Tamandua tetradactyla: one gene and its partners. The protein of the gene in region 4 interacts with the protein of the main gene of each other region in a pairwise test. Links are inferred from orthologs where the notes say so. Each region holds a gene or a part of one and is shown on either strand. Other genes may lie near its edges.

Region 1 (7,744 bases), on a different chromosome or scaffold from region 4:
CCACATGGAATTTCCAGTCAGTGTGAGAAACAGACATTCATTCATTCAACAGATATGAACTGAGCACCAAGCACTTTATCCACTGGAAAAACAATGTGAAAAAGATAAGTTCTCTACATCCATGGGGCTTACATTCTAGAGTTGGGATCAGATAATAAACAAATAATAAGTAATTATACAAACTGGTATACAATTGATTACAGGAAAGGTGCTCTAAGTACAGGGTACCCTAGGCAGATAGGTCAGAAAAGGCTTCTCTCAGGAAGTGACCATTTGAGTCTCAAAAGGTAAGTAGGTAGGCAAAAAAAATAAACCTGTCATGAACAAAAATTCCCAGATAAACATATCGCATATCTGCCTCTGTGCATGTTATAAATAGATGTAGATATACAAATATGTAGGGAGGCACATTAAAAAAAAAAGGTAAGTAGGCCTTAGTAAAGTACATGGAGTAGTAGGGAATATTCCACATAGAGAGAATGGACTTTTCAAAGTGAGAAAGGGCTTGGGCAAACCTATCTGAGGAAATAAGAAAAGGCTGATGTCATCAGAGCAGAGTTTTTCAAACTGAGACTGGGACCCATTAGAGAAGCATAGAATCAATTTAGTAGGTTACAGCCAGTATTTCGATTTTTTTATGAAATGGAACATAATAGAAAACATCACATGAAAGGAGGTTAAGTATCTTTCTTCAAAACTTTATTTCAGTTATTTATTTGTGTACCGCTATGTGGGTGGTAACATAAGTGTTATTTTTTTTTAAGGTGGATCTGGATCATTGCAGGGGAGCAAAATAAAATAAAAAGATAGGCTCAAGATGAGTCTGAGAGGTTCCAGGTTATTTGGGCCTTGTAGACCACGGCAAGGATATTTTTTATTTCATTCTAAGGGTAGTTGTATCTTAACACCTAAAACACAGCCTAGCACATGAGTTAATTCAATAAATATTTGTTTCATGAATGGCCATAGCTTGGTGCAGAGCACTGGAAATGAACACAAATGGAAATTACAGAAATAAAATTACCAAGTCTTATTGATTAAGTGGGAACAGTGAAAAAGGAGTCATCAAGGAAAACTCACAGATTTCTGACTTGACAGTGTAGTCTGCAAGCCCTACTATTTAACAAAGGCAACCCTGAGGATATTTTTGCCTTTTTAATTTACAGCCCTATTCTTTCAAACTTCAGGAGGTATCTTGTAACTCATCCTCTGTATACCTGATTTTATGAACTTCTCAGCCTTTAGCTTCAAAATGCTGAACTCTAAAGATTAAATCTTTCATCATTAAAATGATCTTTCACATCTTGACCAAAAGCAAGAAGAGAAATGAAACAAAATAAAGCTTCAGTGGCTGAGAGATTTCAAAGAGTTGAGATCATTCTGGACTGTAGATATCCCATTTCGGTTTTTGTTGTATTGGGGTACCTAGAGGGAAATGCCTGAACCCTTCGAATTGTAATCCAGTAGCCCTGATTCTCGAGGATAATTGTATAACTATACAGCTTTTACGGTGCAACATTGTGATTATGAACTTGTGACTGACACTCTCCTCATACAGTGTATGAACAGATGAGTAAGAAAATAAAGACAAAAAATAAATAAATAATAGGGAGGGAAGAGGGGTTATGGGATGCTTTGGGTGTTCTTTTTTACTTTTATTTTTATTCTTATTTTTACTGTTCATGGAGTAATGAAAATATTCAAAAATCTATTGTGATGATGAATGCACAACTATATGATAATTCTGTGAAGCACTGTATATTTTGGATGGTTATATGGTATGTGAATATATCACAATAAAACTAAATTTAAAAACTATATAATTACAATTAATGATATAATTGTAATAATATTGGTTCATCAATGGTAACAAAACATAATGGGGAAAACTGGTGGGAGGATGGCATATGGGAACTGTACTTCCTGCATGATTTTTCTGTAAACCTACAATTACTCTAATTTAACAAAAAATTTTTAAAAATTGATCTTTCACCATCCTAACTGTCCCTTTCTGGACCTCTGCTAGCTATATTTTGCCACCACTTAAACTAGCAGGTTGTACAAAGAGGCTGACTACGCTACATTTTGCCATTAAAATTTCACAATGCGAGTAATAACATCATCTACGACACTATAACCTGTACAAACTGTACAAAATCACTACCAGTAAATGCTATTAAAAACACTTTTTAAAGGCGGAAAGGGTCCCATGTGCCACAAAGACTTGAAAGCTCGCTAAAAGACACCATGATATGTCAAATTCCCACTGCAGCGGAAACTGAATTATCAGAGAAAACCTAACCATCCTTCTTACAAATTTCCATTCATTAAGTGCTCTTTCTAAAACTCCATGATAAGCTATTATTTCATTCATTCGTTCCATTTTCATTCCACGCTTAAGACGGACGCTTCCCTAAGGCTCTGCAGTGGGAACCCTCAGGCCCTCTTACCCGCAGACCCCACTCTGTGGGAACAATGCCTGGCCCCTCCGTGGATTCTGGAGACCTCGCAGAGGCCGCCCGCCCTCCTCCCCACTAGGTCGCCAGCAGCGCCCGGGCCAGGTGGCGGCCTACGAGGTCCTCGGCTCGGCCGGTACAAATCTCCAGCCCCACAGGGATGGAAACCAAGAAGAGAGGCCCATAGGGGGTCCCACGGCCGAGGACCCGCGACGGGAAGGCGGGGAGACGCGATTACCTAGACGTCCCGGTTCCGAAGGAGAAGCCACCGGTCGTGCCGCTCCCGCCGGTGGCTACGGTGGCGGAGCCCAGCGTCCCGGTGCCGAAGGAGAAACCGGTGGACATGGCTGCACCCTGTGCCCGGCGCCGTCCACGGGCTGAGAGTAGTCAGGGTGTCCTCTCGCCTCAAAGCCGTGACGGGCTGGGAAGCATCGCTGTAGCCCAGGCCCGACCTGGCGGGAACCTCAAGCCCCAGCGACCAGGCCAAAGGGGTGGGACGCCGCGCGCACGCAGCTCGTCGGGAGCGAGCCCGCCGCGCACAGCACCCTGGGACGGGGGTGGAGTCGGCGCGCCCCGCATGGTACTCTGGGACGGGGGTGGGGCCGGCGAGCCGAGCTTTCTTGAGAGGATAAGTACGCAGGATTGAAGCAGAAGCAAAGGCAACCACTCTTTTTCCTTTTAGTTCTATTTTGACATTTGTTTTTGACGTTATCTATATTTTGTGTGTTTTATTGATCAATTATTGCATATATCCTGCCTTCTGCCAAAAGGGCACGGAGAGTCTTAGAGTGGAGACGGGCCCTACTGACCATCCACCTGCCCTTCCGTTTACGAAAAAGAAGGGGACTAATAATAATTCAGCTGTCCGTCCGACGAGCTGAGCCTCGATTCTGTGCTCAGTAACGTTCTGAGACTGAGTACTGGCGGTGCAGCCACTGATAGGGGGTTCAGAAACGCCCGGATAGATTTGGGGTGGCGACGGGGGCTGTGCGTGGTGCTGAGGGAACACAGGTGTCCAAGCTCCTTGAACCGAAAATGATTTAGACAAGTCGTCAAATAGTGTGAACGGAAGGGATAAGAAAAGTACAGAAGCAAGGATAATATACGGCGAAATTTAAGCGTTATTTTAGTCACGTAAGAAAAATTTGACTCCGAAGACGGCATCTTGTGACGATGGGACATTTGAGGTGCCGCCGCCGTCATAATGTGGGTCTTTATTTCTCCCCAGAAGTGGTTTTCTACCTGCCATCTCTTTGGGCAAAATCCATTCCATAAACGACCACCAGATTTTAGTCCTCCTGAAATACAGTTCTTACATTGACACAGACTTGATCAAAAACTCCAGAGATTCCATAATTACTTGCCAGAAACCTACAACCTTCCGTTGAGTTCCTAGACCAGTTAAATCCTGAAACCCGGGGGGACCAGCCTCTCCAGAACATCAGCTGGTTTCATCCCCTTAACACATTTTATCCGCAGCTCTTTCCAACATGAAAGAGTTAGAATGGGCATAGGCAAATACCCCTAAAGATTGGGAGAAAGGTCAATGGAGAAGGTGGAGTTACAACAGAGAAGATAGATTTAACAAATAAGTATGACTGCTGAGTCATTATATTGGTGTTTCTTTTCATTTCCAGTGTCTTGGAGCAGCTAGACTTTTAGAAGAACGTAAAATTAAGAAACTATAACCCATACCAAACTCTGAAATCTGTTCCGTAACTAATTGTTGTGGTGTGCTGTGGAATTTGCTTTTTTGTGTATATTTTTCACAATTAAAAAAAAAATTTTTTTTTAATGCAAGACACATTGTAATTGTTCAGTAAATGTTAGCTATTTTTTTTAAAATAGACCTCGGTATATGGACAGATGAGTAATAAAGACAAAAAATGGATAAATAATGGATGGGGATGGAGAGATGGGGACATGGGATGTTTGGATGTTCTTTTTTACTTTTATTTTTCTTTTTATTCTTTTTCTGGAGTAATGAAAATTCAAAAATTGTGATGATGAATGCAGTTATATGATGATACTGTGAATCAGTGATGGTACATTTTGGATGATTATATGGTATGTCAATATATAATATATACCAACAAAATTGCATTTAAAAAAACTCCCAGTGATTCCTTGGTCTGGCCCTCAGGGTTGTCCATTTGACCCATCTTTCCCACCTCATCTCTCTTAACTCCCTTAATGCAACACTTTCTCCTGTGTTGAGCCTGGGCATTCCCACCTCTATGTTTCCATAATTAAAACGAAGATAAATAGCATTGTAAACATTATGTAGATCACAATGGGAATGATAAATAAGAAAGGGATGGGACATATTTGAACACTATTATAAAGAAATTCATAGTGATTTACTGAACAGAAAAAGAAAAAATATGGGTTTTACAGAGAATGTTATTTTCAGTGATGGCTAAAATCTACAGTAGGGCGGGCCACGGTGGCTCAGCAGGCAAGAATGCTCGCCTGCCATGCCAGAGGACACGGGTTCGATTTCCAGTGCCTGCCCATGAAAAAAAAAAAAAATTAAAATCTACAGTAGTTCCTTTGAACTGAAACAACAAAAGATGGATTCAGATTATTTTGTGGGAAGATAGAAAGCTGCTCCTTATCTCTTTTCATTCCCTAGAATATTCTTTTTCAAAACTTTTGAAGAATACCACATAAAATTAATAAGAGCAAAATACTTGATACTGAAAATTGTTTATTAATAAAAAAGATATATAAGATTAGTTGGATGGAAAGAGTGTGTAAAAATATAGTAGAAACTAATGCAAGATAATAGGGAAAACTGGGTATGGGGTATACAGGAACTCTATCTGCAATAATTCTGCAAATATGAAGCTATTTTAAAATAAAAAGTTTATTAGGAAAATAAAGTAGGGAAGCAGGAAATAATAAATGTTTTTTTGTGTGGAAAGCACCATTCAAATTGACAACCAAATTATTCTTTCAATTTTATTTTAGAAAAATTTTAGTATAACATTTCTGCTTTGTATCTGGAAGAGTAATTCAAGTTATGCTGCAATAAAAAAATGACCCCCCAAAATCCCACAGGCAGGAGCACTACCAAGAGGGAAACTGGAAATACTTGATGAACAGTTATTCTATCACATGCGTCTAGATGCACCAAATGCTAAGACTGAACCTTAAAAACTATATCTTATCTCCTATATGTTCTTCTGTTTGTCCTATTGAAAAGAAGAAAGAAAAAAAAAACTTTACATCCTTAAATTCTACAGAACCATAACATCAAAGTGAGCAGTTTCAATAATCCCAATTGTTATCAGTTGAAAACTTGACAATAACCTGAGCTTAATGCCTACTAAAGCCTAAAGTCTACCCTCTAGCCAGGCAAAAACATGGAGAGCTGCAATTTGGCTTAGCATTCCTTACCTAGCAAGAGTAACCAATCCTTATTACAAGGGATGTTCCAAATATCACTGTCTGAAATTATGGGAACTGAACCCATGTGTCAGTTCTATGTGAATTACTGCTTTCCAAGGATGAAGCAAATGATTCTAAATTCTAAGGCAAGCCACTTCACTTCCTGTTGAGAAACTCCATCTGTTAAGAAATTCCATCTTTTGCTGATTTGCTGGCTGGATAATGACATTGTTAATGTCATAATCAGAATGAATTATCTGAAAAGCAATAGCACTCTAAAAACATTTCTAATTTTATTCGCATTAAACTCTATGAAGAAGCTTGTTTTGTACACAATTCATCTATGCATTCAGATCACGCTAATACTTTGAGAAGCTTCAGTTAAGTGATTCTAACATAGGAGGGTAGTGGAATCTGAAGTTATTTAAAAGGATTTGTAATATTCATGGTTGTGAATCTCAGAAATATCCAATGGAGAAGTTACCTTCAAGAAACTACATGTAAATATTTGTCCTCAGTTAAGGCTCTCTTTTGAAAAGTTTTCCCAGAATGGGTCTGTTCTAGTTTGCTAGCTGCCGAATGCGATATACCAAAAACAGAATGGCTTTTAAAGGGGGGAATTTATTACGTTGCAAGTCTACAGTTCTATAGAAATGTCCAATCTAAGGCACCAACAAGAGGTTACCTTCACTCACGAAAGGTCAATGAAGTTCAGAGTTTCTCTCAACTTGGAAAGCACATGGTGAACAAGGCAATGTCTGATAGCTTTCTCTCCAGACTTCTTGTTTCACGAAGCTCCCCCGGGGGCATATTCCTTCTTCATTTCCAAAGGTCTCTAGCTGCGTGGTTCTCCTGGCTCTGTTGCTGTTTCAAAAAAAAAATGTTTCCTCTTTTTAAAGGATTCCAGTAAACTAGCCAAGACCCACCTGGAATGGGTGGAGTCACATCTCCCTCTAATCAAAGGTTAATACCCACAATTGGATGAGTCACATCTCTGTGGAGAGAATCTAATCAAATTCCCACCCAGCCATATTGAATAAGGATTAAAGGACATGGGTTTTCACCACAGATTCAAACTGGCACAGGTTTTATCTTAAAGATTTAGATAGTGTCCTTCCTCTTTAAAAATCCTATTAAATTCTCAAATGATTCAACAACAATGATATGTATATAAAGAGATCAACAATGCAAATGTGACAAGATGTTAGAAACTAATGATTCCACAAGCAAGATATGCTCATTATACCACTCTTTCAACTTTTCTGTAGGTTTGAAATTTTTCAAAATAGAACATTAAGGGGCACAATACTGTAAGTGTAATTAACACAGCTGAGTCTGAGTATGAGAGAGGAAGGTTAGATCATGTGTATCACCAGAAGGAAAGCTAACGGATAAAAACTGGGACTATATAACTTGGCAAAACCTAGAGTAGATGATAATGGTGGTTAAGTGTGCAAAAATAAGAAAGTTCTTATATGAACTGGAACAAATGTACACCACTATTACAAGGTGTTAATAATAGGGTGGCATATGGGGAAACATATAATTAATACAAACTGAGGTCTGTAGTTAACAGTTACATTGTAACATTCTTTCATTAATTGTAACAAAGGCACTATACCAAAGCTAAATGTCATTAAATATCAATACTAGAAAGATATAAGGAGTATGGGACTTTTTTCCCAGAAGAAATGAAACTGTTCTCATATTGACTGTGGTGGTGAATGCATAAATATGTGATTATACCAAGAGCCACTGATTATACATTTAGGATAAATTATATGGTGCATGAATGAAACTGTTTAAAAACAAAGTTAAAGGGCAAAAAAAAAAAAACTAAAGCTAAAATAAGAATCCCCAATCACAAGTTCAAAAGACTGGTTGTTTCCTAATGA
Region 2 (7,718 bases), on a different chromosome or scaffold from region 4:
GGTGGGGTTTCCACACACTCCCAATATCCTGAAGTAAAAGGTTTTCTGCAGACATGGGCCTGCAGCCTCCAGCTCTGCCAGCTGCTGACAAGCGGCAGTTAACAGGGAGGCAGCGAGAAAACCATGTGATCATTCCAGCAAGTCTGATTAATGCAGTGTGTGCTAAGGCTCCAGGCTGGGAGCTGGATTAGTCTAGTGAAATAAGTTGGACCTGGGGCATGCCTGGGACCATGGGTAATCATGAAACACCACCACTCCCTCACTATTACCCCCAGAATTTTACAGGAGAGTGGGAAAAGCTTAAAGGAATGAGAAAGCAACCTGTTCCATTATGAACTACCTAATTACCTCATCCTCCCATGGCTGTGGCTGCTCTAATGACCAAGCATAACCAGAATTATAAGTGAATACAGCAAATAATGATACACAGGCTATCTTTTACCCAAAGTCAGTTCACTGAAAAATTCTCCTAAATTTTGTGCTTTACCATTCCATTACCAAGCTTCATTTTCACACAAATGCATAAGACGCAACAGAATCTCAACAATCACACTTTGTGCTCATCTTCACCCCAATCAAATTACCTTGCATGTCACCATGTTAGTGTCCCCATCTATTTGATTATTCATTTATTGAGTGTCTAATATATACTAGGTTCTCATCAATTCCTTGACGTACAACTACTATAATAATTTCAGAACAGAACAGAAATTAAGAAACAAGAAATGAGACGCAAGCCAAAAGAAGAGAGAAATGTTTACCAGTTTGTAAAGCCCAAGCTGGCAAGATTTGCCAAATGAGCTGAGGCTGTATTCTGAAACTTGCCATTAAGGAGAATCTTCAGCCTTTGCATTGCAAATCTTGAAAAAAGAAGGGAGACAAATCCCAAATAAAAACCCATGAGTCATTCTTAACTTTTTCTGTTCTTTCCCTCACACCACAAATGTAATCAGTCACTGATTCTGATTCTCCTTAGGATGACTTCTTTGACTCTGGCCCTTTTCCCCCATCCCCATGCCCATGGCTTTCATCATCTCTCAGTCAGTCTTGTTACTAGTCGTCTTCTTCTGTCCCTTCTCTAAAAATCTGTAGAGCAACCTTTCTAAATCTGATTGATGCCCCTTTTCCCACTTTAAAACTGCTTTAGTTCCTTGGTGCCCACAAGATGAGTAAAAACTCCTTGGCCTGGCCTGCACAATCTTATTGCTCCAATTTTCTTTCATCAAAACACTTCTAAAACCTCAAAATTCAGCCAGACATTCCAGTTCCCAAAATATGCCTAGATCTTCCTTCTGGGGTCCATGGGCCAACCAGACCATATTATTCATTGCTCCCTAATCCTGACCTGCACCCTCTGTGCTGCCTATGCTGTCCCTCGGCTGCTGGCTGCCTCCCCAGGACCCTGAGCTGTCCCTAGGACAGTTGGTGGTCCCCTCTGTGCTGCTAACTGCATACCAAGCTGGCATTTTGTCCTCCCCCCTTACTCCCTTGGAAACCTGTGAGTTCATCAAGGGCTGGGATTGTGTGAGGTTAATTTTGTATTCCTCATGCCTTGAACATATCTTACCAGAACAGTTATTCAGTAATGGTCTGTAGAGTGAACCTCCATGTGCCTCAGTTTTCTATTAGGGAGACAGGCAATCTAGTACCTGTGTTCACACGAAGGTGCCCAGAGGCGGCCTTCTGTCTATAGTTTGTTCCATCTCAAAGAAATGAAGCGATAATGACAAGCTGAGGCAGGCCAACTAGTGAGGACACTATTCTGGGGACTCCTGTGGTCCCTCAAACCAAACAGTTATGATGTACTAAGCTGGTACAGGAATGCCTTCCACAATGTTCCTGACAAGCCTCCACCTGGGCCCTCTCCGCTGAGAGCTTCTGGCAGAATCATGGTTATCACAGAAAACAGGGGATTCAGTCATTAAAGAACTCAGTGTTAAGTCCCAATTCTGCCATATACTAGCTTTGCGATTGCTAGCAAGCTACTTAAGTTCTCTGAGTCTTGGAGTCTCCAGGTCTAAATATAGAATAACAGTAACACTGCCCAGGCCTCTCTCAGAGATTGCTGTCAGGACCCCATAATGGAGCTGTAAAATCCTTTATCAAGTGTATAAAGACACGTCATCATTCATCATCTTTATCATCTCACAAGATGGCCTCTCCCTGGACAGCGTGGACTGCTGGAAGGCTCATCTTTATGATGAGGGATACCTCCTAATTGAAGCATTTTGTCTGTTCACTAGCAGTTTATTTATTTGGACACATATGTATTATGTATAAAACCACTGTCCTAAATTCTAGGTTAAAAAAATAAATAAAACAACAGTTTTGAGATTACCCAAGTCCTAGGAAGAGCAATCACCCAGACCAAATACAATTATATGACTACCTGGATCTACTCAGGTGGGATGGAGAAAGGAGCAGCTGGTAGTCAGCCAGAAGCAAACTTCTTGGGGGAACTTACCAGAGCATCTTTTTACTGAGCCTTCACAACCTTGAGGGCAGAGCTAGCAAACCATAGATACACAAATAACTTTTGATAGATTTGTTAGTTTGAGGAAGTCTACATTCTCGGCTCTCTTTGCAAAGTACAAGAGGAAGAGTAGTAGTCTGAATTTCTAGGCATCTGGCACAGTGCTAACTGGTCTAATTTGCTTTAGCATTGCTAAAACCCACAAGGTAGGTCCAGTGTAACAGAAGGTCTAATGGGATGGACAATCTCTAGACAGTGCCTGTTTTCCACCAGTGATTCAAACCTCCTGTTGGAGAGCTGGTTATATCTTGTATGAAAATTCATAAGGTCCTAGTAGAGAGACGAGTGGATAGAAATGGTGAAAAATCTCCAAATCCCAGCACAAAATGCACTTTAGACGTAATTTTATGAGATTTCTTTCCTAATAAAGAAACCAAGGACAAGTATCTAATAAGTTGCCCTGGGTCTTAGAGCTTTTAAATGGCAGAGCAATAACTTGGGATTCAGGTTGGTTTGACTCCACCATTATTTATTTATTTTTAACTTTTTTTTATTGTATAGTATAACATATATACAAAGCAAAGAAATAAAAAAGCAATAGTTTTCAAAGCATTCTTCAACAAGTGGTTACAGGACAGATCCCAGAGTCTGTCATGGGCTACCATACGATCCTCTCAGATTTTTCCTTCTAGCTACTCCAGAATATAGGTGACTCCACCACTTTTAACCCTTATGCCCCACTGGGGTTTTGGGACCTGCATCTATGAGTCCTTCTGGTTTATTTTATCCACCTGGCCCTGGCCAAAGTGTCAAGAACAGGGGCATAAAGGAGGTTCCATGACTGTTCTACACCTTTCCAGCCCAGGACTTGAAAAAGCACTTGTGTGACCACACAATGATTAAACAACAAAAAGAGTCACTCTAAGTCATCTAGCAATGACTAAAGACTTAGACAAAGTTGTTATTACTCCGGGGCTCAATTTCCCTTTCTACCCCGAAGGAACAGCCAGATATTCAGAATTTTGGTTTTTGTCTTTGCTTTCTTTTTGAAATAACACTTAATATGAACCCTAAAATACAAAACTGATAAAAGCAGAAGAGTTCTGGTTGAGAAGGGATGGAGGGACCCCCAGTGTTCCTGCTGCTACGCTTTACTTTCTCTTCAGTAGGGACAGACATAGACACAGTCTGAAAACACCCCGTGAAATGACTCCAGCAGTCCCTGCCAGTGCCAGGACTGTGTGGGACACTCTGAGCTATACACATTCCCCACTGTGTGCACAGATGTGAGACAGGAGAAAAAAGTGAAAATCAGTTCCTATGGTGACTAAAATACTATTCTTTTCTCATGGCCCAACCAAGGATTTTTCAGATAAGCAGGGGCCTACGTGGTAACAAGAGCTTCTCTATAGTCTCCTCAATGGCCCAGCTTCTATCCCCTTACTTCTCATTTCTTCCACCCTCTAAATAAGAGCCTCCTCATCTCTGCCTGGTCCCCCTGCCAGGCTCACCTCTTCCTGTACAGTCTTCTATGCACAGTCTCCTACTCTGGCAAACTTCCATTAAACCCACACCTCTTTTCATGGTCCGCAGAATAGAGTCTTGGTTCCTCTGTGAGGTGGCCCATTATGCCCTCAACCCACCTCCCATGCATGTCTCCTCATGGACCCCTGGCTGGTCCCAGCCCACCTCCACTCCTGGCTCACCTTTTCTTGAAAACCTGCTTTATGCCTTCTCTCACAAGTGGGTATGGAAAGGTGTGGTGCTGAGTCTAGTTTTATTCATGTTCCCTGAGAAGGCAGGGGCAAGTTTTCCCCAGTCTCAGCCTCTTAAGATGGGAGAAGGTAGCACCTGCTCTGTGGGAATGCTGCAGAAATGAAATACCTGGCCCCTGTGAGCCACAATCAACAATATTATGGCAAATGCTTCAAAACCCTAGTATGCACCCCTCCTGACTCAAACCAGCCCCTAGTGAGCACTAAATCTCCAAAATTCCCATTGATAATCAATATCCATTTTAAAATCTTACATCCTGTCCTGTTCTGAGTAACCTTTGCCCACTTTCCTGTCTCAGATCTCTAACGAGACGCACACGTGTCACTGAGGACAGGGACTAGTGGGGTTGGCATGGGGGAGACATGAAGAGCTCAGTTTCCCATAATCTCCACTAGACACTAGTCCTCACTCCCAGAAATGCACAGACCCCTCCGAGGAAAAACAGCATGCTAAGGGCAGCTTCAAGCTAAATTCATGATGCTTTGGGCCAGTATCCCCCAATTCTGGACAGCATTCAGGCACTGTGCCGGTTTGGCACTATCATGTACCCCAGAAAAGCCATGTTCTTTAATCCTCATTCAATGTTGCTGGGTGAGATCTTTTTAATTGTTACCATGGAGTTGTGACCCACCCAACTGTGGGTAGTAACTTTTGATTAGATGGTTTCCATGGAGATGTGTCACCACCCATTCAAAGTGGGGTTGCTTACTGGAGCCCTTTAAGAGGGAACCATTTTGGACAAAGCTTTACTGCCAGCAGAGCCCACACAGCCAGAGATCTTTGGAGATGAAAAAGGAAAACACCCCCAGAAAAGTCTTATGAAACGAAGAGAGAAAGCTAGATGTTGCCATGTGTCTTTCCGGCTGAGAGGTGTCCAGAAGCCAGAGACCCTGGCAGACACCAGCCACATGTCCTCCCAGTTTCAGAGGTATTCCGGATGGTATCAGCCTTTCTTAAGTGATGGTAACCTCTTGTGGGAGCCTTAGTTTGGACATTTCTATGACTTTAGAACCATAAACTTGCAACTTAGTAAATTCCTCTTTTAAAAGCCATTCTGTTTCTGGCATACTGCATTCTGGCAGCTTAGGGAACTAAAACAGGCACTGACCAAGGTTTACAGTCCTTTCTAAGCCTTCACAAGGCACAGGACAAGTTAAGCAGCTGATAGGCTTTGGATTTACTGAATGCCTTTTTATTCTTGTTGAATTAACCTTTCCAAAAATTAAAAACAAAACTAAATTAAACCTGCTGAATTGATAGGAAATCTTAAATGTGATAGGAAATCTTAAATGTGAGTTCTATACTTTGGACTAAGTCTTACCCCCAAATTTCATCATTCAACTGAACTTCTTTAGTATATTTAATTTTAAAATAGAAGTCTTAAATAAAACCATCCTTCACCTCAATTTTAAGTGAAATACTACCATAAAATACATATGTTTTTCCATCAACCAATACTCAAAAGTAGGACTTTACTGGTAATTACTTCTGAATTCAAGTCTATATTCATCTTTCTCATCATATAAGCACACTCTAAATATCTGTGCTAGGTTACTGAAAATTAACCTTTCAATCCTTCCACAAAACTTGAAGGGTTGCTATGTGCTAGAAACTTAACTATTCTAGCTTCTGTGAAGAGAGGAGTAATGAAGTCAAAGCCCCCAGTTTCATGGTGATTACATTCTAATGAACCTAATAAATAAGGAAAAGGATACAAAATAGGGCAATGTAGGAGAGAGTAATCTGGGGGCTACTAAATTTGGAAACGGTGACAGGGAAGGCCCTTCTGAGGTAGCGGCATTTCAGCTGAGATTTGGATAACAAGAAGCAGTCATTCATGCAAATATGAAGGAAGAGCATTACATGCAGAGCAAAGAAGCTGTACAAGGGGCCAAGAAGGATGAAGATAAGAGGTAAGTAGGGCTTTATCAGCCAGGGAACCCACTGGGCAGTTGTAAAAGGAAAATGTAAACAGGGAGACCAGTTAGAAGCCATTGCAGTAGTCTAGATAAGAGAAGATGGGTTTGGACTCAGGTGACAGTAGTAAACAAGTGAGAAGTTGATGATTTTAGGCACATTTTGGAGCAAGTCTCTCTCACAATTCAATTGTTCTGTGTGAGGTTCTTAGATCACTAATGAAACACAGCAAAGATGCAAAATCTTGCAACAGAAATACAAAGAACTCCACCAGGACCATAAGCTCCAGGAAGTGACAACTCTATGAAAGGAAGGATCTTACCTCCTCTTTACTCTTCTACCTATGGCTCTGGCATGCAGAATTATTCAAAACATATCAAGGTTTGTGGATTCTGAGAGATTTCATAAGAAAGTGCACATGGATTAAGTGAGCAGTCCTCTTTCTGGGGCAAGTGTCAAACAAATGGGCAGACTATCCTGCTGAATGAAAATATGCAGCTGCTCCAATGTCACCCTGATATTCAGAAATTTGCCAAGAAAGTCGTTTCAGGAATGGAGAGAAAATCAAGAAGACAAAAGCATGGAACGCTTTTATCCAGTCAAGGAATATTTACTGGGCACCTGCTATGTGTCTAGCACTGCTACATCCCTGGGAGGAGAGGGAGGTCAAAGAATAGTCCGGTACATTTAAGGCCTTTTAAAGAGTCAGGGACAGGGCATATATACCTAAAAACTTAAAATGATAATCTACAATGGTAAATCAATATGCAGGGTGTCTAAAATGTTATATTACCTGTTATGTTCATTTTTTTCCCCACTTCAACTGGCTGTTCTTCTTCTAAAGGTCTTCTTGAATCCTGGTTCTGCCATGCAGTTGGTGAGTGGCCAGAACACTGAGTTAGGGACTGAATATCTGGGCTCCTCCCTACCAGGTGAGTCAATTTATCTCTTGGAGTCCGTTTGTTCACCTATCAAATGTGGATGATAATTCCTGACCTATCCCCTCACAAATAAATCATGAGGATCAAATACAATAATAGCTATTGTTATTTTTCACAAAGAAGAAAGAAAAAAGGTGATTGAGGTGATAAAAAAATATTTAAGTCTTCTAGCCTCCTGTATTCTGGAGTAGCTAAAAGGAAAATTCTGAAAGATCACTATGGTGCCCAGTGACAAACTCTGGGATCTGTTCTGTACCTACTTGTTGAAGAGTGCTTTGAAAACTATTGCCTTTTTATTTCTTTGCTTTGTATATATGTTATACTATACAATAAAAAAGTTAAAAAAAAATTTTTAAAAAGAATACACACATGTATACATATACAACAACTACACTCATTTGCTTGTATTTGCATAAAATATCACTGGAAAAATAAGGAACAAATTGATAATAATGTTTGCCACAAAGGAGAAAGATTCAGTCACAAGGGGGGAAAATTCTTCATCTAGACCATATAATTAGATGATCCATAAATGCAAATTACTACCCAAGCAACTAAGAGAATTTAGACACTCGTAATTGTAGGAAGGTAGAGCTGAAAGTACCACAGTC
Region 3 (7,586 bases), on a different chromosome or scaffold from region 4:
TACTTAGTGTTTGCTGCTATGTCTTCCAAGGGCCTTACATTTATCAACTCATATAATATGCACAGACAACCTCATGAAGGAAGCACTACTGTTATCCCCATAGGGGATAGGGAAGCTGAGAACCAGAGAAGTTTAGACAACTTGCCCAACAACACATAGCTTGTAAGCAGGAGAGTAGAGGTCAACAGTTCCTAAACTGTTAGGTGCCATATGGCGGCCAAGATAAAATTCTGCTTCTTTTTTATGTCTTTTGTTCTCCACCTTCCTACTCCTTTCTTGGCCCCCAGATGTGTCCCTATAGCTCTACATCAGGGAACCCTAAACCTCTGCTACATGTGCTATTTTTTAAAATTAATATTTAAAAGTTGCATGTCACTCTTGAAAGTTGCATATTTCCTGTTTGTATTTCTAAGTAGCAAACAGGCTTATATCTTTTTCTTTAAATAAAAATCCTAAAGCAGATTTTGTTATTTGGGTCCTTAATAAAACGAGTTTCCCCACTCTGTAATACAGCAATTTTTGAATTTAGTATCATTGTTCATATTATAATATAGTATTAATTACTCTGTCAACCTGCATTAATAAATTGGAGCTGGTTTATACGTCTCCATTAAACAGTGCTTTTTGGCACTGGATAGCATTCGGTGAGGTGATGACCTCAAAGATAATTTGCTCTCCCATGCTTTCAAATAGGTTAAAAAACGAACCTTAATCCAACTTTTCTGATTGCTTTCACCAGGAGAGTTGGTCTGATACAATACAGGCAGCCCAAAACAGCTGGAAGCAGAAAGTCTAATTCACTTCTTATAATATTATGAACACCTACAAACCCCCAAATACCAGTGTATGCCCAATAATTTACACCCACCCATTGCTCCCCCATCATCTACGCCTGCCTCAAAGGGTACCAAATTGAGAATCATTTCCTGTTCATATCTTTGCTTAGTTTGCTTTCTTTGGGGAGATTACTGCCTATGCAATTCCCATTTCCATGCCTCAAGCCCTGTGACGAGTAAGACACAGTCAGTATTATGATCCCGGGTTGTTTTCCACATGCTGGTCACCACCACATGGAGTCCATGGAGGAGATCTAGGCATGGGGAGGGTCCAACTGCTGTCCTTTAAGATCAAGATAGAGGCCAGGACCGCAAAATTGATATTGCAATGCCATCCTTCTCCCCTCACCTTCCCACCCCTCATGGCCCTCCATACCCCTGAGGGGTGCTTCCTAGGGACAGGCCCAACCTAAGAAAACAATAGCTCCCAACCCTCAGACCCGATGCTCCGTTTTAATAAGTGTTTGCATTCAGCATCCTAAAATGACATGTATGGATGTTGTAAGTCTTTGTATTGTGGGACTGTCCCCTAGCCTTGCAGGTCCCTGCCGACTCAATGCCAGAAGCACCCCTGACACAGTGAGAACCACAAATGTCCCCAGGATTCCCAAAATACATCCCAAGGGCAGGTAGGAACAGGATCCTTGTCTGTCTTGTTCATTGCAGTATCCTCATCACCTCGCACAAGACCCTGCATGCAGTGGTAGAGGGTAAATCAATATTTGCTGAATAAATAATTATAGTCCAGATATCTATGCTGTGAATATACCATCCTCTTCCCACAAAGCTAAACTCATCCTCTCTTTACCACTGCCTCTCTGGTATCCCCTGGGAAAAGGGAGAAGAAAAATAACTCAGAACGCTGAGGGCCTAACCCCCTCCCATAAAGGCTCTACACTGTTCACTATGGAAAAATGGGTTCTTTAAGGGCCCTTATGAGAGCAGCTGATTTTTAGTCCTGGTGGGGGTGGGGTGAGTATAGGGTGTGCACAGAAAAGCAGAGACATCTGTAGAGATAAGAAGGGCTCAGTGGTCAGAACCCTACTGAGCCTTTTAGCCTGGCTTTACTGCTGGCCATTTACCAGCTGTGTAACTTCTGGCAACCTCTCAAATGCCTCAGTTCTCTCACCCACAAAGGGAATATAACAATGGTGGTTAGGGTTGTTGTAAAGATTAAATGAGAATTCATAGAAAGTGATTAGGGCAGAGCTTGACATATTATAATTATGCGTTATTGTTACTGTTTTTATGAATTAGCTGGGCAACCTAGATAAATGAAATATTATCCCTTTAGCCTAGCATTCACGCCCTGTTCTCTCGAGTTCTTCTTCACCCTTCTCCTTCCTGGATGGTCAAAGACCCAGAATACACGACCACTTTCCCACTGCCCTTTCTTTACTTTCTCTGCTGCAAAGCCCATCTCAGAGGTCCACTTGGTGGGACCCGGCCAGATTCCTGCAGTGCTGTGAGATGGCCCTGGAGCCCTCCCGGCCAACCTCAGAGGTCCCACCCACCAGGTTTCCCACTCCCGTACAGGAAAACACTGTGCTAGACAATAGCTCTACGGTATGGCTGCTAACCTGGATCAGCTGGGGGTCCAGAGTTCCCTCCCCCCTCCCCCCAGTCCCTACATTGTCCACACTCTCAAAGTCACCCCCAACTCTCCCTGGATGGGTGCTTCCTCCCTGCATCCCAATCTTTGTAGCTCTAGGAATGTCCACTCCTTTCAGTTGGTATGATCACAGGACTGTCCACACACCAGTTAGGGGACCCCAGGGCTGTGTTGACCCCAAGGGGACCCACTCCCCAGATTGCGTAAAGTCCGCAGCCTGGGACGGATCACCCGGGAGTAAGAATGAAACAGTCAGCCTACGATCCTAGCACTGGGTGGTGGCGGCCATCTTGTAACATACCACTTTTATTCTGCGGGGCTGGATTACTAAAGGCTGCCTCATCCCAACAAGAAGCCAGGCCCAAGCTCCAAACGGAGAGGAGAATGTCACAATCTTACTCGTCCCAAGCCTCCCAATTCCTCCCGACACCCACCCGCCTAGAGCGGACCTCACTTTCAGGCCCGCAGCCTCTCTCATATCCGCCATCTTAATTAACTTCGTTCACCGCCCACCCCTCGCTTCCGTAATTTCGAACAAGCTCTTGCCACACCGGAGCAGGCAATTGGCTCAGGGTGCGAGCAGATCGGGGACTGACGTGGGCTCTGATTGGTCGGTGAACGAATTCCCCTCCTTGCTGTGCTTTGAAGCCTCAGGGCTCTGGGAGAATAACATAGCCCCGCCTCCACTCCTGGGTGCCGGACTCTTATTGGCCACTGAATCGGGGCATGCGCAGTAGATGCCAGACCAGTGTTAGGGTCCGCTGAGGCAGGGTTTTGAAGATTAAGGGTGGTGGGTTCTGAAACCACCTCGGGCTGTCATTGTGTTCATCTGTAAAAGGAATGAGCATGGTGCTTTCTGTTGGGGTTTAAGTGAGATCACGCGCTGGGGCGTGGCACTTAGTGTCCTGGGTGATTCAATTGTTACAACTCTGTAACAAGCCCTTTAGGGTTTTCCTGCCTTCCCCCGTCGTTCCTGCATTCATTTATTCTGTGGTTTGCTCAAAACAAAAAGCGTTGCCTTCGGTTTGAATTTTAGGACAACTCTCAGAAGTGGTTTTAATAAAATTAAATTCTGCCGCAGTGGGACGCTTGGCTCTCCCAACACCAAAAAGATGCAGTGAGGCATCCTGTGGTATTTGGATACAAAGTAGTAAAATTATATTAGTTGACTAAGATACGGCCCAAAGGGATACAAAGTGTACAGCAGTTCAACGCTCTAATGGAGGGGCCTTTGACAGAGTGTATTTAAAAGAATAAACACGCTCCAGTTTTTGATGTGCCAAGCGATGGTTTCGGAGCATTAGGCCTGCCTGGTTAGACCTGAAGGGTTGCTGAGATTGACTCCTGTTATTTAATACACATCACAGGTGATATAGCCAGTCACCTGTTTTTTTTTTTCACTGTTTCTTTTGTTTGATTTGAAAATGAAATGTAGAAGTAGTTTCATGAGTATTTAAGACAGGAGATAGCTCATCAGTAAACACAGTCACAATATTCATAATGTAAATAATATGGAAACTGTACAGTTGAGCTGTCAGATTACAGTCCAAGATGATCAGTGTCTTTATGTTGCACTTATTGTTACATTTAGAGATCAGTAAATATTTTTTCTTTTTCAAATTTATTTATTAATTAAAAAATTAAGAAACCAAAAAATCAACATATATAATCAGTAATTCACAATATCATCACTTAGTTGCATATTTATCATTTCTTGGAACATTTGCATTAATTCAGAAAAAGAAAAAAAAGACAATAGAAAAAGAAATAAAAAGAAAACAGAAAAAAAAAGATTATACCTACTATACCCTTTACCCCTCGCTTACATTTATCACTAGCATTTCAAACTAAATTTATTTTAGCATTTGTTCCCCCTATTATTTATTTTTATTCCATATGTTCTACTTGACTGTTGACAAGGTAGATAAAAGGAGCATCAGACACAAGGTTTTCACAATCACACAGTAACATTGTGACAGCTATATCATTATTCAATCATCCTCAAGAAACATGGCTACTGGAACACAGCTCTACATTTTCAGGCAGTTCCCTCCAGCCTCTCCATTACATCTTGAATAACAAGATGATATGTACTTAATGCGTAAGAATAACCTCCAGGATAACCTCTCAACTCTGTTTGGAATCTCTCAGCCATTGACACTTTGTCTCATTTCACTCTTCCCCCTTTTGGTCGAGAAGGTTTCCTCAATCTCTTGATGCTGAGTCTCAGTTCATTCTAGAGTTTTTCTCAATCCCTTGATGCTGAGTCTCAGCTCATTCTAGGATTTCTGTCCCACGTTGCCAGGAAGGTCCACACCCCTGGGAGTCATGTCCCACGCAGAGAGGGGAAGGGTGGTGAGACTGCTCGTCATGTTGGCTGGAGAGAGATGCCACATCTGAGCAACAAAAGAGGCTCTCCTGGGGGTGACTCTTAGGCCTAAATTTTAAGTAGACTTGACCTATCCTTTGTGGGATTAAATTTCATATGAACAACCCCCAAGCCTGGGGGCTCAGCCTATAGCTTTGGTTGTCCACACTGCTTGTGAGAATATCAAGAATTCAGCTTGGGGAAGTTGAATTTCTCCCCATTCTCACCATTCTCCGAAGGGGGCTTTGCAAATACTTTTCCACTCATTGATCGAATCACTCTGGGATTCATCAGGGCATCACTCTGGAGAAACCAACAAAATCTCATGTCCTACCTGAGATTCCAAGTACTTATGGTGTTCAATCAAACTATCTACATAAGTTACATTAGGAAATGCACTAGTCAAAATATAAATTTTGTAACAAATAAGGATTTTTTGCTTTAGTCTCACACATAAGGTGACATTTTAAAATATTATCATCTATTTTTAGCACCCTGCAATAATGACATTCTTTTGTTCTTCCTCATGCAAAAACATTTTTAAAATTTGTACATTGTACATTTAGTCTCTGTTATTATACACTCCAGGCATTCCTAGATTATACCATCTCAATTTTTAACATCTGTCTTTCTTTCTGATTTCATTTATGTCCCCAGCCCTCCTCCCTCTATCATTCTCACATGCAGCTTCATTCAGTGTTTTAACATAATTGTATTACAGTTAGGTAGTATTTTGCTGTCCACTTCTGAGTTTTTGTATCCAGTCCTGTTGCACAGTCTGTATCCCTTCAGCTCCAATTACCCAATATCTTACCCTATTTCTATCTCCTGATGGTCTCTGTTACCAACAAAATATTCCAAGTTTATCACTAATGTCAGTTCATATCAGTGAGACCATACAATATTTGTCCTTTAGTTTTTGGCTAGACTCACTCAGCATAATGTTCTCTAAGTCCATCCATATTATTACATGCTTCATAAGTTTATTCTGTCTTAAAGCTGCATAATATTCCATCGTATGTATATGCCACAGTTTGTTTAGCCACTCGTCTGTTGATGGACATTTTGGCTGTTTCCATCTCTTTGCAATTGTAAATAATGCTGCTATAAACATTGATGTGCAAATGTCCGTTTGTGTCTTTGCCCTTATGTCCTCTGAGTAGATAGCTAGCAATGGTATTGCTGGGTCATATGGCAATTCTATATTCAGCTTTTTGAGGAACCGCCAAACTGCCTTCCACAGAGGTTGCACCATTTCAGTCACCTGTTTTGACGTTTACAATTTGAAAATTATGTATATATATATATAACCTGCCTTATAAAAGTACATGCAAATATGCATAAATAAATACATAATTTGTAGGATATGGATACATATGATTTAGATAAAGCAGTGGGGCCCCAGTTCACTGTCCTAAGTCAGTTAAATACTGAAGGAAAGGAGACCATTGATAATTTAACATAGTGACCAAAGGTTTAGGAGGCCTGAGCCCTGAGCTCCTTGCCTCCACCAGGCTGAGCAAATTCCCCTTAGTTAGCTTGCAAACTCCAGTTGTATAACAGGTGCTGCATCCAATGTGAAAACATCAGCTCTGATGCTAAGGAAGGTTGTTATTTTAAGTGTGTGGGTATTTGGGGGTGTGTATGGGTAAAACAAAGCAAAAGTTCAGTTGAAGTGTGGACACTTCATCACTGGATCTTTTCAATGGTGGCTGGATTCCTAAAATATATTTCATTTTAGTACCCCCACTCAGAGGCTATGGGAGGTGAAAGGTGCATTAATTTGTTGGAAATCTTGCTCTAATAGCTATAGTATGGTATAACCAAACATACGATAAGCTATATAATCTCTTTTTGGGGAAATGCACCCAAAATAAATCTTGCTCTAATGAATATAGTATGGTATAACCAAACATGCAATAAGCTATATAATCTCTTTTGGGGGAAATGCACCCAAAAGAAATGCAATTAAAGAAAATAGGAAAGAAAAAGAAAACTGTTAGCTTATGAGTTAGCCTATTTGAATAGACTAAAATGCTAAAAAAAAAAAACCCTCCAATAAAAGTAGCTCACACTGTAGGTCAGTTGCCCTTTATTATAAGAATTTTGTCACCACCATCAACCACACTTTAGACCTTGTTTACAGGCAACTTGAAGAGAAAGTTTGTTCTTGTTGGTTTTTTGGTGGCGGTTTGCTAAGTTTGGCCACTATGGGAAAACACAATATGTGTGTTTATAATCTTATGATCAATGGAACTTTCCAAGAATTGGATGATAAATATGTACGTAGACATGGTGTTAGCATGGCCTGTGTTAGAGCTGGTCAAGGCAGCTTCAAAAACATGTTTATTTATTTATTGCCAATGATGGTCTTCCTTTACAATCAAAGCAAAATATTTTAAAGATGAATTTTTCTTTCTGATTATCTTTGATGACTGAAAAACATTTTCAATGTTTAAAAGCATTTATCCTTTTGAAACTTTTTTCTGCTTCATTAGTAATGGTACTATCAAAGATGGGGTTGGAAACACTAGTTGTCAATGAAAGAGGGGGTAAGGTGTATGGTATGTGTGAGTTTTTTCTTTTTTCTTTTTATTTCATTTTCTGGAGTGATGCAAATGTTCTAAAAACCGATCATGGTAATGAATACACAACTATGTGATGACACTGTGAGCCATCGATTGTACACCATGTGTAGAATGTATGTGTGTGAAGATTTCTCAATTAGAAAAAAAAGATAGATGGGGGTACATGGGAGATGGGGGGGTGC
Region 4 (7,536 bases):
ATCCCATATTATCAACAGCTCTTTCCAACATGTAAAGTTAGAATGGGCATAGCCCAACCACCCCTAAAGACTGGGAGAAAGATCAAAAGAGAAGGTGAAGTTATAACAGAGAAGATAGGATTTAACTAAAGAGCATGACTGCTGAATCATTATTGATATTTCTACTAGTCTCCAGTGCCTTGGAGCAGCTAGAAGGAAAAACTTACAATTGTGAAACTGTAACCCATACCAAAACTCTGAAATCTGTTCTATAACTACCTGTTACAATGCACTTTGGAATCTACTGCTTTTTTGTGTATATATTATATCTCACAATAAAAATGTAAAAAAGAAAAAGAAAGAAGTCTTGGCCCTAATCTCCGTCTCCAGCCTCATGTTAACACTTCCCACCCACAGTTTATTGCCCTGAATGGATTACATTTTCTGTCACCTCCAGACTGTGCACTAGGGTTTGCCTACATCTGGAGCACTCTTCCCTTCTGGCTTGTCCCTCTTCAAAAATCATCTCAGTGGAAATACTAGGTCAATGAGAGGGAGGGGGTAAGGGGTATGGTATGTATGAGTTTTTCTTCTTTCTTTTTATTTCTTTTTCTGGAGTGATGGAAATGTTCTAAGAAATGATCATGGGGATGAATATACAACTATGTGATGATATTGTGAGCCATTGATTGTACACCAAGTATGGAATGTTCATATGTTACAGATGTTAGTGTTTGTTTCGTTGTGTCAATAAAAATATTTTAAAAATGAAACAAACAAAAAAATCATCTTAAAAGACACTTCCAAGAAGCTCTCCCTGACCTCTCCCCAATGAACTAGGATAGCTGCTGTCTGCTGTGTCCCCTCACTACCCTTGACTTCCCCAGTAGCACTTACTGACTTGATTGCAAATTGCTTGTTTCATGTCTCCTCAGCTCAAATTCCGTAAGAGTAGCAAGCATGTTAGTCTTATTCACTGTTCTATCCCTAGTGCCTGGGATGTAACAAGCACTCATCACTGCAAGATAGATCACGAAGTCACAAAATCCTGACTTTACAGACTCTTTTTGTCCTCAGGCCGTCGGGAGGATCTAATGACCAGGAGGAGGCCCGCAGGTTAGGACCTGAGATTGGGGGAAAGGCCCTCCCCACAACTTTTGTCCCCAAACTGTGCTGCTGTGGAAACCCATTTCCCCAGGGAAAAGGTAGGAGGGATTCTATGCAGGAGGAAATGAATCCTCAGGACTGCCCTCTGGGGTCTCGGCTTTCGCACTCTTCAGACCCCAACACGCAATCTGGAGCCAACTGCTAAGTCAGTAGAGCTCTCCACACAAGGTTTGCAAGGCGGATCGGCGGTGACCCAGGAGGTGGAGGAGATAATGGGAGAAAAGAGCTGAAAGTGGGATTGGGAAATAGATTCACGATGCATCCGGCCAGGCATATTTACTCTTTATGTGACTGAGGGCGCTGGGACTTCTGAGGCCGAGGGAGAAAGGTGAAGGTAGCTGGTTCCCGGGGGGTTACCCTGGGACGCTTGGTTCTGGGTGAGGAATGGGGCTGAGGAGGGACAGACATTCGGGGGGAGGGGCTCCGGTGCCATTAGCTTATCCTACAGGTGCCTTTCTCCCTGAAAGGATTCTTGTCCTCAGGGATGCCTTTGAGAAGGGGGTCATTTCCTGCTTGGGCCACCACATAATCCTTGATTTCCTTTCCCGTCTTGGAAACCTGTGAGGAAACAAAATACAGCCCCCGTTTGTTTCTCGGGATCTGTGCCATGGTCAGACACACGAAAACAGACTTCTGGAGCACGGTGGGGATAGGGGCCAGAGAGATGAAAGATGAGGGGGCAGGCAAGAGTGAGAGGGGCATGAGAGAGCTCCTTGAACTACAGAGACTAATTCTTGCCTTTGGGGAAGACTTTGGCCACACTCAGCCCAGAAACTGAGTTCTGCAAGGCTCAGAGGTGCTCTCTTGTGCTCAGAGAAGGGTCTCCACGTGGTCAAGCCCCAGCCTCCTCCTACAGGCTCCTGCTCCTTCCACTGCCCAGGAGAGGTCCCTCATCCTGTTTTCTATCGCTTACACCTTGGTGCCCAAGCTCCCCACAGGAACGGGAAAGGTTGAAGAAGTGGAGAGTGGGATGGGGATAAGAAGGCTCACAGGAGCTCTTGGGTTCCTCACTTCCTTCCTCAGCTGTTCCACCTCCATCCTCAGTAGCTCCTTCTCGCTGAGGTCCTGAGCCATTCTGCCCTGGAGAGTTCAGGTCCTGGAAAGTATTCAGGATTGTAAGCCCCTGGCCATCCTCTGCATGCCTCACACCCCAACTTCGTTCCTCTTCCCTGCCATATTCAGACCCCTCATCACTCAGCATACACTCCTGCATCCTTCCAGGCCCCAGGGACTAAGGCACAGTGGGAGAGGAAGCTACTGGCCTGGTGGAAGGCACAGTCTTTGCTCTTAGATAAGGGCCTGTCTAAGGAGGAAACAGGAATCCAGGGCATGGAAAAGGAACAGAAAAGGAATTCTGTCAGTGAGGAAGATTTGGAAGGCAAGGCTATGTCCTGTCTAATGACTCAGGTTAGAAGTTTTCTTTCTGACTACCAGATCCTGGCAGAGGAGAGTGTACCCTAGTGGTTAAGGGCATGGGCTTTGGGATCTGTCAGATTTCTGCTCTGGCTGCAGCTCTGCCGCTTCCTTGTTGTATGGACTTGGCAAGTTACTCAACCTCCCTGAGTCTTCGTTTTCCCCTCTGTAAAATGGGTATAATAATAGTACCTCCCTCATACAATTATTGTGAATACTAAGAAAATAATGCATACAAAATAATTTGATTCATTGCCTGGCACATAATGAACACTTTAATATATTTATTATTATTACCAATATTCTCATTGTTATTATCATTGCAGGGCTATCGAGAAGGCCTCCCTGGTAATGCCAAAACTAGATCCCAGCCTGGCGCAGCCTCAGACCCTCTCACCTGCCAAGAAGCAGCCCGCCACTTCGAGTCACTTGGCCCTGGACCCAGACGAGATGGTGCTTGAGCCTCCTAGCTCCTCAGCAGCTGAAAATCTTGGATAAAGCAGATGGTCTGGGAGCCAAAGTCTCTGCTGCCTAAGCTGATCATAAGCTCAAAGTTCTAAGCCCATCCACCGGCCTGAGCCTCTGAGCCCTCACTGCCACGGAGCAGAGCTGATGTTCTTCCCACCAGAAAACTAGGAACAGAGGCTACCCTCGCTCTCTCTGCCCCAAGCCCACCTTCTCATCACCCTGTTTCCTGTACTGCCCCCCACATCCTTCAGTGACCCCCTCCCCGGCTCAGAGTCCCACTGACCTCTAATTTCCACTCTCTAGCCTCACATACCCCCTGATCCCCAGCCTTCCCTCTCCCACCCCTGAGCTTATTCTGAAGCTGTTTATCCCAATAAGGCAAGTCCTAAACCACCTCCTTACGTCCTTCATCCAAGAATCCTTCATGTCCCCGGCAAATTTCCCCTTGTGAGGGTCTAGTTCCACCTTCATTTACTCAATTAATAAAAGCAGATTCCTTGCCTGTGAGGTGTGTGCCAGTTAGCACTCTAATGCCTGTGTCCGTACTCCTTGGCCTCCAACCTCCCCGGGAGCTGTGGGGTCCCCCTTACAGGCGCTTCCTGAGCATGGGACTCAGGTCTTTCCCTTGGTCTCCTCCCAGGACCACCCTGGGTCCCTGCCGTTTAACAGACCCTGAGCTCCTGCTCTGGCTGGCTGTGCTCCAGTGACGAGGGGTCCTCTTGAGGAGAAGATGTCCTCAGGGATCACTGTGATCAGGGGAGTCCTCTTAGTCTCCTGCCTCTAGGGTGACAGACTGGGCAGGGGTGGGGGGGCTGGAGAGGAAGCCCATGGCCATTCTGCCTGTTCACCTCCCCTATTTCAGGAGCCAAGTCCTACTCACAGCTGTGAAATCTAAGAATGTGAGCTTGGAAGGACCTGGAGGTGGTTAGGCCAACTCACCTGTTAAAGCATGGCATGGAGCCCACGCTCCTGTGCCCGGCTCAGTACTCCGGCCACTGCTGTTTCCTAAACCTGACAAGTTAGTCTGGAATTTGAACGTGGTGCTTTTCCAACTCAAGTCCTTCTCGTTGCCTAATCTGAGCCCCTCACACTGCACTTGGTCAGTTTCATCTTGTCCAGATTTCATCAGGCACAGAGCACGTAGAGCAGCTCTCCACCAGCTCCTTGTCGTACCTAGCCCTTCAATGACTTGGTATCACTTCTCAGAGAAGCCCTGGTTGTGTCCCTCCTGATGTCGGACCCTGGTGCCTCTTGCTGTCGGCATCGGCTGTTTTCCGCTGGTTGCGCACCAACCACCGCACAGGCCGCCCCGGCCCGGCTGGCCTCCGGACCCGAGCCACCCTCCACGCCCCATCCCTCGTGACTCATCCCTGAGCTTCCCAAGGAAGCCCCCACCCTCTGCCCTTTCCTCCCCCTTCCATGAGTGGAAAACCCATCTCCGCCCCCCATCGCAGGCCAGCCCTCTTCCTCCTCAGTCTGCCATTCCATCCCCCCACCCTGCAGTTTCCTCTCTAGGACCAGGGAGCAATCACAGCCACCCTGGCCTTGGCTTCCTCTGCTGGGAGAGATTGGGGCACTGGGCCCCAAAGGGGCCCCTGGCTTCCCCCTTCATCTGGGCAGGGGACAGAGCGTCACAGGCCCAGGGAGCAGGGACCGACTTCCTCTTGTCCCGGAATGAGTCTCCTGCCCTTCGCAAGCAGGTTTGGGTCTCTCACGCAGAGGAAACCAAAAGTAGTGAGAGGGAGGGAAGGCAGAGCGACCAATCAAGGGCAGGGTGAGGCTCAAAACTGGCGGGCTCCCCGGGGAGCCGGCCAGAGGCTGGGGCAATGGCGGAGCTGCAGCAGCTGCAAGAGTTTGAGATTCCCACAGGCCGAGAGGCTCTGCGGGGCAACCACAGCGCCCTGCTGCGGGTCGCCGACTACTGTGAGGACAACTACGTGCAGGTAGGAGGAGCAGGCGCAGCCTGGGAGCCCGTCCCCAGACGCAGGTCACGGGAGCCATCCCAACAGGTGCCAGGCAGGGCTCGCCAGATGGGGGACCTTGGCCGAGAAATCTGCCCACTCCAGGCTTTGGCTTCACCCTTGCCCTCCCAACTTTTAATCCAAACTTTAATGGGTTTTAATTTAAAACCCATGCCACCCAAGCCCTCGCTGCACCCCTTCTCCATCCCAGAGCCTCAGAGATGTCCAGGGCAACACTGTTTCATCTTTTATCCTGCTATCAGGCCTCACTCGAGGTTCATCGCCCCCTCCCCTTCCACTCAAATCCAGAGTCCCCACGGACTTGTCCTCGCTCAGATATTCGCGCCATTTTCAGGCTGGCTCTCTGGTGAGACTTCAGAAGAACTTCCCAATCATTGTCCATTGAAATGGACAAGGGAAGGAGGAATAAACCTCTCTTCTTGACATGGTGAGAGTGCAGACACACAGCAGGCGAGGCTGCGTTTCAGACGAGGGCTTATGCAGAGGCGGGGGATGAACAGCATGACTTCTGGAGCAGGGTGCCAGCAAAAGATGAGGATGGTGGTGTCATTTTAGAATAGTTTGTAAAACTGTGTGGTTGTTCCAGGACAGAGAATGTAGATTCCCTCATCAAGGGAAGAGAAGTGGGAAATGTACCAAATATTGAGCACCTATTATACCATGAACCCTCACAATGACTTGGTAAGGCAGGTATTCGTATTCCTGTTTTATAGATGAGGAAACAGCAGCTCAGAGAGGTGAGGGGGCTTGTGGACGGTCATACAGCTCAGAAATGCAGAGCCGGCCGTCCACCCGGGACTCCCTGTCTTCTGAAGCTGAGCTCTTTGCTTTCTATTATTCTGCCTCTCTGTGGGGCATTTTTCTTTTTCTTTCTTTTTTTTTTTTTTGGCATGGGCAGGCATCGGGAATAGAACCCGGGTCTCTGGCATGGCAGGTGAGAACTCTGCCACTGTGCCACGATTGCACCACTCTCCCTGACTGACTTTAAGACAGTATTCTCTGTCTTAATAACTACAGGTCAAACCTGTTACTCCTCAGGCAAAACTTCATTTTTCTAACTTGTACTAACCCAACTGTAAGAAGATGCCTGGGAACCTTCCTGGCCAGTTTTTCCTTTTGTTTTGTTTTTTTGGTGGGGGGGGCGGTGGGGGGATTGGAGGTGGGAGGGGACTAAGTGCTTACACGAAAATAGCAGATTAAAGAGCGCCGACAATCATAACACTTAGAATACTCTGTTCCTTCGTCTTCACCTAAGTCCTATGGGTGATCACCACCCCCAGTACACAAATGAGGAAGCTGAGGTTCTGAAAGTTTAAGTCATTTTCCCAGAATCTCCAAGCTAGTGGCAGAGTCTGGATTTCAGCCCAGAAACCTGGCTCCAGGGACTACCCTCTAAACCTCTAGTTGAAATTGCTATCCCAGGTACAATTTCAGTCCCAGGTACAATGTGCAGACATTGAGACAGCTCGTAGAGCAGCTGGAACGTGACCTGCAAACCAGCCCTGGTTCTCACAGCCAAGACAGCTCCGCTCCTCCTATCAGCAAGGACAAAAGGGCCTCTCCACTCCTCCAATAATCTGCAGCTCAGAGAACGTCTGGGTGGGCTCTCCTTTGCATAGGTAGTGTGCACACAGGACTCGGGGTCACAAAGACCAGAGACCAATTTCCAGCTCTGCCACCTTCCAACCGTAACACCTGTGGCAAGTTTCCCTGTTGGATTCTTATACCTTCTCAGAGGGTGGGCATGTGGGTTAAATGTGATAATGAATTAAACCATTTAGCCCAGTGTCTGTCTCTAAGAAGGGCAGAATAAATGGCGGCTATTACCATTACTATTATTATTATTATTATTAACGGCAGAAAGAAAAGGGACATTGCGAACCATAAAACTCAGTACCTTCCAAAAACACCCAGGCTGGAAACCCTGGGCTCCTGCTTCCTTTGCACAGCATCCTTTTAGCCCACACCACCTGCTACCTTTCCAGGCCTCTTTGAGGAGCTTCAGCTGGGGAACAAGTGCCCCAGTTTTGACTTCTCAAAACTGCTTCTAAACAAAGTCTGGTTCCCAGGCCCTCCGCTCTTCCCTCCCCGACCCAACCCCACCCCAACCAGGTGTCAGGAAACCCATGGGGATTGGGGGAGGGCAAGTTGGGGTCAACCTCAGCCCTTGGCTCTGTGGAGGTCTCTGTTAGGGTCGACCGAATTTACTGACAGAATAATTTGCATGATGAAAAGCAATCAGCCGTGAAGGCGGAGCCCAGACCCTTCTCCCTCCAGACCTGACTGTGGGCCAAGGACAAAGCCAGGAGGGGGCGGGGCCCAGGCTGTAGCCTCCCAGAGCTGGGCCTGAGCAGTCTCTTCTCCTATTGGCTCTGACTGTTCCTCCTGCCAGTCCTGGGATGGGGGAGAGGGGGGAACAGCTTGTTAATCCATGTGGAGACCAAGAAGCCTGTGGTTCTGCCTGGGCCCTCATTCCCTGCCCTACTGTAGGAAGGTCCTAAACTAGCACAGGGCCTGCTACCCTTTC

Evidence for each region.
Region 1: the proteins of ABI3 (region 4) and NUP58 interact in binary tests that used the Homo sapiens proteins (3 or more experiments, as listed by UniProt). The two-hybrid records come from large-scale screens. The link is inferred for Tamandua tetradactyla from reciprocal best matches to the Homo sapiens genes ABI3 and NUP58.
Region 2: the proteins of ABI3 (region 4) and EVL interact in binary tests that used the Homo sapiens proteins (3 or more experiments, as listed by UniProt). The link is inferred for Tamandua tetradactyla from reciprocal best matches to the Homo sapiens genes ABI3 and EVL.
Region 3: the proteins of ABI3 (region 4) and WAS interact in binary tests that used the Homo sapiens proteins (3 or more experiments, as listed by UniProt). The two-hybrid records come from large-scale screens. The link is inferred for Tamandua tetradactyla from reciprocal best matches to the Homo sapiens genes ABI3 and WAS.

The regions. Positions count from the first base shown.
Region 1 is NC_135330.1:190,396,421-190,404,164, reverse strand, and holds the start of NUP58 (nucleoporin p58/p45), read right to left. Parts: upstream 3,001-7,744; 5' UTR 2,802-3,000; coding exon 2,695-2,801; intron 1-2,694. UniProt on the Homo sapiens protein: Component of the nuclear pore complex, a complex required for the trafficking across the nuclear membrane.
Region 2 is NC_135338.1:61,272,161-61,279,878, reverse strand, and holds the start of EVL (ena/VASP-like protein), read right to left. Parts: upstream 3,014-7,718; 5' UTR 1-3,013. UniProt on the Homo sapiens protein: Ena/VASP proteins are actin-associated proteins involved in a range of processes dependent on cytoskeleton remodeling and cell polarity such as axon guidance and lamellipodial and filopodial dynamics in migrating cells.
Region 3 is NC_135353.1:121,599,808-121,607,393, forward strand, and holds the start of WAS (actin nucleation-promoting factor WAS), read right to left. Parts: upstream 3,005-7,586; 5' UTR 2,898-3,004; intron 1-2,897. UniProt on the Homo sapiens protein: Effector protein for Rho-type GTPases that regulates actin filament reorganization via its interaction with the Arp2/3 complex. Important for efficient actin polymerization. Possible regulator of lymphocyte and platelet function.
Region 4 is NC_135332.1:30,417,833-30,425,368, forward strand, and holds the start of ABI3 (ABI gene family member 3), read left to right. Parts: upstream 1-4,535; 5' UTR 4,536-4,853; coding exon 4,854-4,970; exon of another isoform or gene 4,971-5,293; intron 5,294-7,536. Other genes in the region: GNGT2 (guanine nucleotide-binding protein G(I)/G(S)/G(O) subunit gamma-T2), read right to left, coding at 1,579-1,704, 2,137-2,220. UniProt on the Homo sapiens protein: May inhibit tumor metastasis. In vitro, reduces cell motility.